3 linked regions of the Arabidopsis thaliana genome follow. The protein of the gene in region 2 interacts with the protein of the main gene of each other region in a pairwise test. Each region holds a gene or a part of one and is shown on either strand. Other genes may lie near its edges. The genes, in order: AT4G00270, AT3G06220 and AT1G12890.

Evidence for each region.
Region 1: the proteins of AT3G06220 (region 2) and AT4G00270 interact in a two-hybrid assay, tested with the Arabidopsis thaliana proteins (one large-scale study listed by BioGRID).
Region 3: the proteins of AT3G06220 (region 2) and AT1G12890 interact in a two-hybrid assay, tested with the Arabidopsis thaliana proteins (one large-scale study listed by BioGRID).

What each region holds. Positions count from the first base shown.
Region 1 is NC_003075.7:116,430-120,239, reverse strand, and holds AT4G00270 (DNA-binding storekeeper protein-related transcriptional regulator), read left to right. Parts: upstream 1-1,596; 5' UTR 1,597-1,771; coding exon 1,772-2,005; intron 2,006-2,088; coding exon 2,089-2,763; 3' UTR 2,764-3,155; downstream 3,156-3,810. Other genes in the region: MEE45 (Transcriptional factor B3 family protein), read right to left, coding at 3,189-3,488, 3,533-3,810. UniProt on the Arabidopsis thaliana protein: DNA-binding protein, which specifically recognizes the GL1 enhancer sequence. May be involved in leaf initiation. May play redundant roles with GPL1 and GPL2 in cytokinin responses by regulating the transcript levels of type-A ARR response genes.
Region 2 is NC_003074.8:1,882,762-1,886,666, forward strand, and holds AT3G06220 (AP2/B3-like transcriptional factor family protein), read right to left. Parts: upstream 2,210-3,905; 5' UTR 2,075-2,209; intron 1,984-2,074; 5' UTR 1,960-1,983; coding exon 1,891-1,959; intron 1,367-1,890; coding exon 911-1,366; 3' UTR 587-910; downstream 1-586. Other genes in the region: AT3G06210 (ARM repeat superfamily protein), read left to right, coding at 1-48, 125-556; MKK8 (MAP kinase kinase 8), read left to right, coding at 2,735-3,616.
Region 3 is NC_003070.9:4,389,635-4,392,924, reverse strand, and holds AT1G12890 (Integrase-type DNA-binding superfamily protein), read right to left. Parts: upstream 1,255-3,290; 5' UTR 1,192-1,254; coding exon 532-1,191; downstream 1-531. Other genes in the region: GAPA-2 (glyceraldehyde 3-phosphate dehydrogenase A subunit 2), read left to right, coding at 1-291; NUDT12 (nudix hydrolase homolog 12), read right to left, coding at 1,879-2,061, 2,144-2,293, 2,385-2,468, 2,551-2,674, 2,819-2,889.

The sequences.
Region 1 (3,810 bases), on a different chromosome or scaffold from region 2:
AAATGATAATACATGAATAGTGTCTTGGTAATAGGAGGAATACATAGAAAGATACACTGATTTTAAATAATAAAATATGAAATAAAAATACATAAATGATGTATTGGTAACATAAGCACTACATGCACATGTCAACTGATTTTAAATAACAAAAATGTTATGTTAAAACAAAAATAAAAATACATGAATGATGTCTTGGTAAGAGAAGGACTGCATGCATAGATCAACTGTTTTTAAATAACAGAAATCTTAACTCTAAATATTAAAACAAAAAGGAAAATACAGAAATAATGTCTTGATAATAGGAGCACTATATGCAAAGGTAAACATGTATTTTTTCTGCTTCCCTCCCATTCAAAGCCTTAATCAATGAAGTTTTGGCTAAAAGAATGATCTTTGACCGATGGAGTATTGTGTCGCTTGATGTGATCTTTTTACATTAGAATTGTGGTCATTTGTCTCAGGGAAAAGAGGAGCTATACAATATAACAAGAGGTCCTTCTTGAGGTGGTGAAGATCATAAAGAAGCACGGTTACGTTCCTTTTGTAATATTCCTTGGATCTCGAAATCGAGTACAAGTTCCTATCATGCTAATGGCGGAGATGGATGAAGGCATTTTACATTGTAATCTGTTCATTTAATTTGGATTGCTTTCATTGTTTCATTTGTTTGACATACATAGACACTAATAGTTGAGGATTATGTATTTACAACAATAAAGTGTTCCACTACACAAGGTACAATCGATATATATATAGTGTTAACTCTCATTTGTGTATATATGCATATCAGTTTGTAGGTGTTACTATGATAGTAGTACATTTATTAATTTATAAAAATTTATACGTAAAATACAATATTAATTTTTTAAAAAGAAAAATTTTAATTTAGTTTTTCTTTATGTTTTATTGTTTGTATATTCTGTTAGATTTTTTTTTATTACTTTTTTTATTTTTTCTCTGTAAGATATTGTGCATGTATACGACGTTAACGTGAGACTTAATCCAATTTTTTATTACACAAATCTTAACAATGATTTTTCATATAAAAAAAGTTACAAAACCAAATATGACGGATCAAATACGCAAAGAGTTATGTGAATACAAAAGAGATCACACCAACTATACTCTAGAAAGAGTTGCAATTATGACTTGAACAAAAGTTTCATATAAAATTAGTCTTTGAATGTATGCTAAAGATTTATGATTATTAATTTTATGATATTACTGGTACCATATTTTTACATAGGGATTTCAAAAAAAATATTATCTTATTATCTTATCGATTTTGGTTAATTTTTACATTACCCCGATTTGAGACCGACAAAATTTATTAATTTATCGTGTAATATGTTTTGTTCAAATACCTTTTAATATCTATTTAATAATAAAAAAATATTCAATCAGAAATGGATAATATATAATATAATTATTTACTTAAAATATATCAGCAATGAATCTTAAAATGTAGAAAAAACTAAATTTTAATTTATTATATAAAAAAGGTAGATAAAATATTTTATACTATTAAGTGACTAAAATGATAGATTTTTGCAAGAGCAAAATTGTACTATTGATGAATATTAAACAGTAGAAAAAAAGATGAAAGTGTTTGTTTTGTTATGAATGTTGAGAAAAGTATGGCCAAGTGTTACTCATCCTATTTTGCTTTTCTTTTTCTCTCGGGTTTCACTTTTTAAAGGTCGTGAAGATTGGGAATCACTGCTCTGCATGCGCCCTAGAATCAGCAAGTCTAAAGCAAGCAATAAGCATGGTGACTCCGAAGCAGATCGATTTCTCTTCCTGTGTTGGTGCTGATAACTCCAACGGTACCCTCTCCCATCGAAGATCTCCACGGAATATTCCTTCCTCAAAGCGTGCTGCTTCCGTCGCAGAAGAAGAGACTATGAAGAAGAAGATGAAGATGAAGAAGAAGAAGAAGAAATTGGATCCGCCGTTGATCGTCCGGATCTGGAACGAGGAAGATGAGCTCTCTATCTTAAAGGTATTGTATTGATCTTCTCCATTTATAGTTTGATTTGGTTTTGCATTGTGATTTTCTAAAACCAGATTTTCGAAATTGCTCAGGGGTTAGTTGATTACAGAGCTAAGACAGGATTCAATCCCAAAATTGATTGGGATGCGTTTTGTAGTTTCCTCGGAAGTTCTATCGTTGAGAGATTCTCCAAGGATCAGGTTTTGAGTAAAATCAGGAAGTTGAAAAGGAGGTTTCATGTTCACTCGGAGAAAATCAATCAAGGGAATGATCCCAAATTTACTAGGTCTAGTGATTCTGAAGCCTTTGGGTTTTCTTCGATGATTTGGGGACAAGGTGATGATGATGGTATGGATAAGGAGCACGAGGTAAACGGAAATGGTGCAGCGGAAAACCGGACTAACGAGAGCGGGGAGGAGATGTTGAAGGAGCACGAGGAGGAAGTGGCTAATACTGAACTTTTAAATGAGAATGGGGCAGCCAAAACAACAGAGAATGGGACTAGTAGTGGAAAAGAGAGACATGATGAGGACAATGATGATGATGATGAGTTATGCGCGGTGCAGGATGCATTTGAGGCGGTGATGTCGCAAGGTTTAAGTGGTTATCAAAAGAAGTTGCAGCTTGAGAAGCTGATGAACCTTGGAAATGGTAAAAGAAGAGAGTTGAGTGATGAATGGAAAGCGTTATGTGTTGAGGAAACAAGATTCAATATCAAGAAGCTTAGATTTTCCGCCAAGCTTGCAGAGGCAGCTAATGATAGTTAGATGAAACCAATATGCCCTTGTAGCATTTGGTGTTGTTTAGGTTCTTAGTAAGTCATAAGCTCTAGTCTGTTCAGTGTATTTATCTTTGGATCCTGTCTTTCTTCTACTTGGGCAAGTGTTTGTAAGATATTCCACTTTTTACTCAAGTATCCACAAGAGCCAATGTAGTAGAGTGGCTTGTGCAAGAGTCTAGAGTCTAGGGTTAATAATGTGCTTTAAGGCATGCTTGTGTGTGTGCCTAAGAGTGTAGTGAAGTAGTATAAGTAAGAGTGTGTGTGTGTCTTGTAATATTATCCAAGATATTAACAATGTAGAAGATTAAAAGAAAAATGGTTTTTGTTCTTACTCTCTAAGACAATGAAACCTTAAGAGTTATATCTTACCAAATAAAAGAGTCAAACATTGATTCATTTCAATATAGAGTTTCATTTGATTTCTAGCTTCACCTTGGAGCAGAACTTAAGGACGCAACTTGTTTCTTCTTCCCAAATCAGTTCCAACATGATGGATTCGTTTGCCTTCACATCGTTAGCTTGGATGAATCCTTGCCATCCTCCTACCATTCGTAGTCTTTTTCTTTTGTCGTCCTCGAACCGCAGAGTCGTTAACCACTTCACACCATGTTTATCCAACAGAGTCATTTTAGTTTCTTCATTGATACCATTCATCCTCGTGAAAGGAACCGGAAGACGCTGAAACATAGATTCACACAAAAGATTCTCATTCTATAGACTGTTAAAAGACAATGGCTTGGAATGATGAAACGTACCAGTAGAGAACTTTGGATTGTATAAGGTGTTAGAGTTAATGTCACAAATCGGTTTTCGGATAGTAAAGACTTTCTTCTTGAGATTTTCTCGTCGTGGATACTCTCTTCATCGCTTTCTTGCTCTGTCGAAAGAGAGACTACTTCATTAGCTTCTTCTGGCTCGTTGGGGATCAAACGTAGAACAAGAGTTGCTCTTTTCTTTATCAGTTTGAGAGTTATGATACTTCCAGCTCTTAGTCCATTGGCACTACAGAAACTTCTCCATCCTCGTTTGATGA
Region 2 (3,905 bases):
CATGAATGCTTTCTCGACCTGAGGTTCATTAAAACAGCAGCGCCTACTGTGAGTATGTCTGTCTGTCGGTACAAATACTGCGTTGAACCCCCAAAAGATTAAAACTTGTTCTGTTTTCTTGCAGGTACTGAAGTCAATAACATCAGGTGACAATAAATTGCTGGAAGTGATGCTAGGATTGGCAGCACAAGTGTTCAAATTCATGAGTTCAGAAGAAGCAAACATTGTTCTGACGGATTCAGGGATCAAAAAGCAAGAACTTGCAAACTCACTGGTTTCGATTCTGAAAAAGCATGACAAGCCAGCAATCAAGGTTCCAAGAATCAGGAGGTTTGTGATCGAGCTTGCGATATGGATGATGGAAGATGATGTGGAGAACGTTGGGATGTTCAGGGATTTGGGTATGGAGAAAGAGCTCGTGAAGGTTCTGGAAACTACGGCTGAGCTTGAGAACTTTGATGTTTTCTCTGGCACGGTTGGAGTGAGCCGACAGAGCAGAACGGTTCATTGGTTAGCTGAATTGGCTTTAAAAATGCTTGAGGATGAACATTCTTAAGGTTCATGTTCCTCTTGAGAAACTCAGAGCGTGCTAATTATGATTTATGAAACATATCGTTTATTTTTACAATTATTTAAAAAGCTGCTCAAAGTTCAAATTAGAGATATATCTCAAATTCCATCAGTATATACACATACCTTGTAAAGAAAGATACACTTCTCTCGTAATAGTGATCTTCATTAAACCATTGTTTAAACTTCTGGTAATAGTGGCAATTTCTCAGATACAAATAGAGTTTATAATCCTAACAATGACGAAAACAACTTCAGGGATGAAGTGATATAAGAGAATTCATGTCCACAGAGGAAAAGTGAATTAAACATACGAATAGTTCAGCATCAATCAGATGATTTAATAATAGTCACTATCACTTGCATCACTTATCTCTTCCACTGGCATGGGAGTTACGTCAACAACGCTATCACAAGAATCATTGTCACCTTCAGTATCATCAGAGTTCTCTTCCGCTGGCATGGGTGTTACGTCAACAAGGCTACCAAGAGAATCGTTGTCACTTTCTGACTCATCAGAGATCTCTTCAACATGAACGACTGCTCGCGTCTCTTTGCAGCTACCGCGACCATAGATACTTACTTCATAACTTTTGTACCCATCAAAAACAAACGTCAAGAACTCTCCATCTTTTAGCTCGTTATCGGCCACGAAATTTTCCCAGCCTCGTGCCAAATACACTTGCTCTCGCTTGCTCATCATTGCTACTTTCCAAACTCTTCCACCAGTTCCCGTGAGAATCGCTGTTTTGGGTAAACGACGCGGTAAATGTTCGTAGTAAGACCTTGGTATCAGCTTCTCAACACAAGAAAATGTAACACAAGTTAAAACTGTAGAAATGAATGAGAAGCAAAACAACATAAACGAGAGACTCTTTCTGCAACAGAGGCTTTTTACACATGAGACAATAAGGAGAGTGATGGTTATATGTCTCACTAGACAAACAAAACTATGTTCCAAATAGCATACTCATAAATAAGTTCAAAATCCAACAAAGATGGGTTATGTTTACCAATTTTTTCATCTAGGGATTTGTAAACACTACTAACCATACGAATTTTTGTTTAAAGAAAACCTCTGTTTTTGAATCTTTAAACATTTGAGAAAAACTTGAGAGATCCAACTCTATACTCTTGACAGATTCTAGCAATATCAACCGAAGTTGGTAAAAAAGTTAAAATCTTTAAAGAATTACTGACGTAAATTACTCACAACAAAGACTTAACATATAAAGCAAATAGATTTTTCCTAGAAACCAACTCAGACACATAACCTAATTTGTTTCAGAAACAAACTAAAAATCAAGAGAAAAATCTTACCAAAGAGTTGGAACTGACACAGGAAAGAAAGACAGTGTAGAAGCGAGGAAGTACATCACCGGAAGCCATTGAAGTTGCTGGAACTCTTTGTGTCTGTGAGGTAAAGAGAGAGCAGACGAATTATGTAACGTACGAAATGTATAAAAATTTCTAAGAAACTGAGAGAAAGAGAGGAAATTATTACCAAGTATTTGAGCTAATCTGGTCAAAAAGGGTCACTTAGAAGAAAAAAAACAAGTCCAGAGACTGAAGCAGGATTTGGATCACCGGAGAAAAGTAACTTGTGTGAGAGTGACTGAGACAGAGAGAGAGAGAGTATAGAGAGAGAGGTGGTGGTGTACTTGGGTTAATCATCTTTACTTTATTTACCATTTGACCCCATATAATTTTTCAAAACAACCCCATAGTTTGTACTATATTACAGTCAATGATAGCAGTAAATGAAAAGATGAGTCAATGACAACAACCAAAATGGAAATACCACAGTAAAGCTTTCTCCTCTTCTGTACGTCATCAATCTCTCTGTACTCTTTTGTCAAAAAAAACTTATTGGGGGTAATTGTTTAGTTAATATTCAATTTTGATATGAAAAAAAAATTCTCAACAAACTTATAAATCTTTTACGTGATTTGAAATTTTGGGAAATAATAATGGTATGCGTATCTGATCGATCCAAAACCAAATATGAATATTTGACATGTAAACTAAATCATGAAAATAAAGAATTTCAAAAAAAAAAAAATGTGGATTCCTATATTAATCAATTGTTATTGTCCGACCCTCTACTCTCAAAAAACAAAACCCTAATTAAGCTCTTGAAGATCGATCATTCAACAACAAGAAGATGGTTATGGTTAGAGATAATCAATTCCTTAACCTCAAACTGTCTCCTATACAAGCTCCTACTACTATCCCCCCTTGCCGCTTCCCCATCATACCCGCTACAAAAGTCTCTGCAACAGTTTCTTCCTGCGCAAGCAACACTTTTTCTGTAGCTAATTTGGACAGAATCAGTGTTCTTGGCAGTGGAAACGGAGGAACCGTATTCAAAGTTAAGGACAAGACAACCTCAGAGATCTACGCGTTGAAGAAAGTGAAAGAAAACTGGGATTCTACTTCCCTCCGTGAGATCGAAATCCTTCGCATGGTCAACTCTCCTTACGTCGCAAAGTGTCACGACATCTTCCAGAATCCTTCCGGAGAAGTATCTATTCTAATGGATTACATGGATCTTGGCTCGCTCGAGTCTCTACGCGGGGTTACAGAAAAACAACTCGCTTTGATGTCTCGTCAAGTTTTGGAAGGAAAAAATTACTTGCACGAGCACAAGATCGTTCATAGAGACATCAAGCCAGCGAATCTGCTACGTAGCTCAAAAGAAGAAGTCAAGATCGCAGACTTTGGAGTGAGCAAGATCGTGGTCAGGTCTTTAAACAAGTGCAACTCGTTCGTAGGCACGTTCGCATACATGAGTCCTGAAAGACTCGATAGTGAAGCTGATGGTGTTACAGAAGAAGACAAATCAAACGTTTACGCCGGAGATATATGGAGTTTTGGGCTTACGATGCTCGAGATCTTGGTGGGTTACTACCCGATGCTACCAGACCAAGCCGCGATAGTATGTGCAGTTTGTTTTGGAGAACCACCAAAAGCCCCCGAAGAATGCTCTGACGATTTGAAGAGTTTCATGGACTGCTGTTTACGCAAGAAAGCAAGCGAGAGATAGACAGCTTCACAGCTTCTCAACCACCCTTTTCTTCTCCACCAAGATTAGGGTTAGGGTTATCTCCGAAGATATTGTATTGGTTACTGAAAACATTAGACTCTCAGTGATCCAAAGAGATCAAAAGATGCACCAAAGTAGGTTTTGGTCTACCACTTGTAAAGGATCGGAGATGAAGTGATGATATTAGTGGATTTCCGGGAGTAAAACTCCCGGCGAGATGTAGGGTCTCCACATTGGAGATCTGAACTCGTTAAATTCGTTGTGTCTTTTACGTTTCCGTAAGCTTGAT
Region 3 (3,290 bases), on a different chromosome or scaffold from region 2:
TCAGTGGTTGACTTAGTCGTGCAAGTCTCCAAGAAAACTTTTGCTGAAGAAGTCAATGCTGCTTTCAGAGATGCAGCTGAGAAAGAGCTTAAAGGTATCCTTGACGTCTGTGATGAGCCTCTTGTCTCTGTTGACTTCAGGTGCTCTGATGTATCCTCCACTATTGATTCTTCCCTCACAATGGTTATGGGAGATGATATGGTTAAAGTGATTGCTTGGTATGACAATGAATGGGGTTACTCACAGAGAGTCGTTGATTTGGCTGACATTGTTGCCAATAACTGGAAGTGAAGACTCAACAACCTCTTGATGTCTGCTCCATTATTTTTTACTGTTACATGATTCGGAATGTATAATTGTAGTTCCTGAGTTTATTATGTATTTGTGCTCTATAATTTATAGTAATAAACTTGATTCAAACATATTACATCCTCTGCTTAATACACAACTCTGGTTTGGGAATGCATTTGACACTAAAGAAAGATACAATACTTTTTATATTACATAAATTGAAGGATCGGTAATACAAGCTCACATAAGAAACTGTGGAGCATCGTCGTTGACATCTTTGAGAAAACTCTGAAGATAATTCCCAATGTAGTCATACTCAAAGCAGAGAGGTTCGTCGCTGAGAACTGAGCCAAACTTCATATGGTCTGCATTGTCATGTTCACCGACTTTGTCCTGATGACCGAATAAACTGTTTGACATATCATTAGGTAAAGAAATCTCTTTGCTTTGGCCAACATGATCACCATCATTATAACAATGTGAGAAAGTGTTAGTGAGATTGGTAGAAGACTCTTGTTTTTGAGAAAAAGAAGAAGAGATAGGATCAGCAACAAAATGGTTGTTTTCAAAAGGCTGATCTTGAAGAAGACAGAGACTAGAAGATCCCCAAGTCATATGAGGCTCCAAAGACTGTTGTGGATGTCTTTCTAAAGAGGTGTTTTCAGTGTAGAAGAAGTTTGTTGTAGCTAGAGAGCCGCTGATGGATCGAGCAGCAACGTCATATGCAAAAGCAGCTTCTTCGGCTGTATCAAACGTTCCAAGCCAATGTCTTTCTTTAGTAAAAGGGTTTCTGATTTCAGCTGCATATCTTCCCCATGGACGTCTCCTCACTCCAAGGTACTTCCCTTCTTGTAACTTCTTCTCTTCTTTGCTTTTTCTCTTGTTACTTGATTTCAACATGTTCACAATATTCAGAGATCAATGTTTCTCTCTCTTTAAGTCTCTTGAGCTTTGAGGTTCCTTATGCTGCTATATAAACTCTATATTGAGTAAGAAGAGCAAAAGAGTGTGTGAACTTGATTGATGCCTTTTTGGATTTGGCATTAAATTTAAGGAAACTGTTGGGAGTTCAAAAATTTAACTCCAAAGACTTATTTCTCCTTCGTAAACTGTGTCAGCAGAAACAAGGAAGTGTTTCATATTTTCTCTATTTTTGTCCTTTTGCTTAATATTTTCCACACTTTAGTCTGTGAGGTGATTCATATTAAGGAATGTATGGAGCAAAGCCAAGTTGTGACAAGGACATTGTCATTATAGACTCAGACAAAAACTGTACAAATGTCAAGAAACCTAACTAAACATGTGACATAAGCTTAGGGATTTGGATTCTTAAGTGTATTCAGTTGATTTTGAAGTCAAGCCTTAAGCATTGATTTGTGTGTGATTAGGTAATTTCTTCTATGTCCTTTGTCTTTTTGCATTTGGTGTCCCAATTGCATATAAAGACAACTCTATCTTTATCACTTCAAACAGACAGATATCAAGATTCAAGACAGATGATTTGAGATTATATCATGTCACATGTGTTGCAGTCACTTTACTTCTCATTTTTTCAATTTGTTTACGTTAGCTAAAGAATATGAAAAACTAGTTAACTACAAAACAGTACCAAGGATCTATTTGACTCTCCTCCTCTAGCTTTGAAGAATCATGCACTGTCTCTTCCTCTGTTCTCAATCTTCTTTCATCTTCCATTACTCTCAAAAACTCTTCAAGTGCTCTCTGCATCCACTCATACCGACAAAGCTCCAACGCTTCTTTAACAGTCAACTGCACATTTTCGAGTAATCTCAGAGTTAAAACATTGTACTTACTTATATGAATAACTACACATTTGAATCTTAAGCTTTACCCATCTTCGTTCACGATTCTTTCGCTCTGGCCAATCCTCGAGTTCTTCGGTAACTTTTAATGCAAACATATATCCTTTACATCCACCTAAACATTCATCCTCCACTGTGCTACTTTTGCTTCTAAATTCCCAAACTCCTAAAGGAAGTTCCTATAAACAAAAACATGACCAAAACACATCTAATTCAAAAAACTTTAAAATAGCTTTCTTAGTGTTTTGTTTAATAAAGGTGTAAACTTACTCTAAGTATTCCTTTAACTCCTGCTTCTTCAATGGCTTCACGAGAAGCAGCTTCAAGAACAGTCTCATCATCTTCCCATCCTCCCTGATAATAATATACACAACAAATTAACATGAGCAATTACAAATGATAGTACAGAGGATGATTTTTCAATTCAAAAAAAGACCTTTGGGAAGACAAGATCATGACGATTAGGAGATGAAACCATAAGAACTTCAAGTTTGTTTACAAAGTCAACACCTGAGTCTTCTTCAGTTTCGTCAGCTTTCATCAGCCTATAAGGAATGCATCTGTTCATAATGTATAGAGAAACAAACAACAAGAAAATCAACAATTTTGTTTTCTGATTTTTGGGGTTTCTTGAAAATTTTCAAGATTTGCAAGAAACAAAAAAACAAAACAAAATGATTTTTTGTTGTGTAAGTTGTTGGTACCCAGAAACGAGACGGAAGTTGTTGTCGTAACGTTGACGATCTCGTCCTGTCCGAGAAGAAAGAACCGACATTTGATGAATCTGCCAACACAAAAAAAATCAAAAGGGATTGAGACAACAGAAACAGAGAATGCTACTTTCTTGAAAAGCCCTGTTCTTGTTTGTATGAAACATGTTGATCATAGCCTAGCTTTTATGACGAATCCATATTCTTGTTTTGAAAATAAACAAATTTTCCAGAATTAACGAATCTCAAAAGTCACAAAAAAATAAAATCGTTTATATGAATTTTTTTGTTTGTTAAATAACTTGCTATTTTTGCGGAGAAGAATGAGGAGTTGTACCAACGAGCATTCACTGCTAACTATCACCTGTCTCTCTATATAATCAGTTTTAATATTTATACATGAAAATAAATAAATTATTTTTGTTAGAGCTCAAAAACAAGAAGAACCTTAAGAACGCAAATTCGA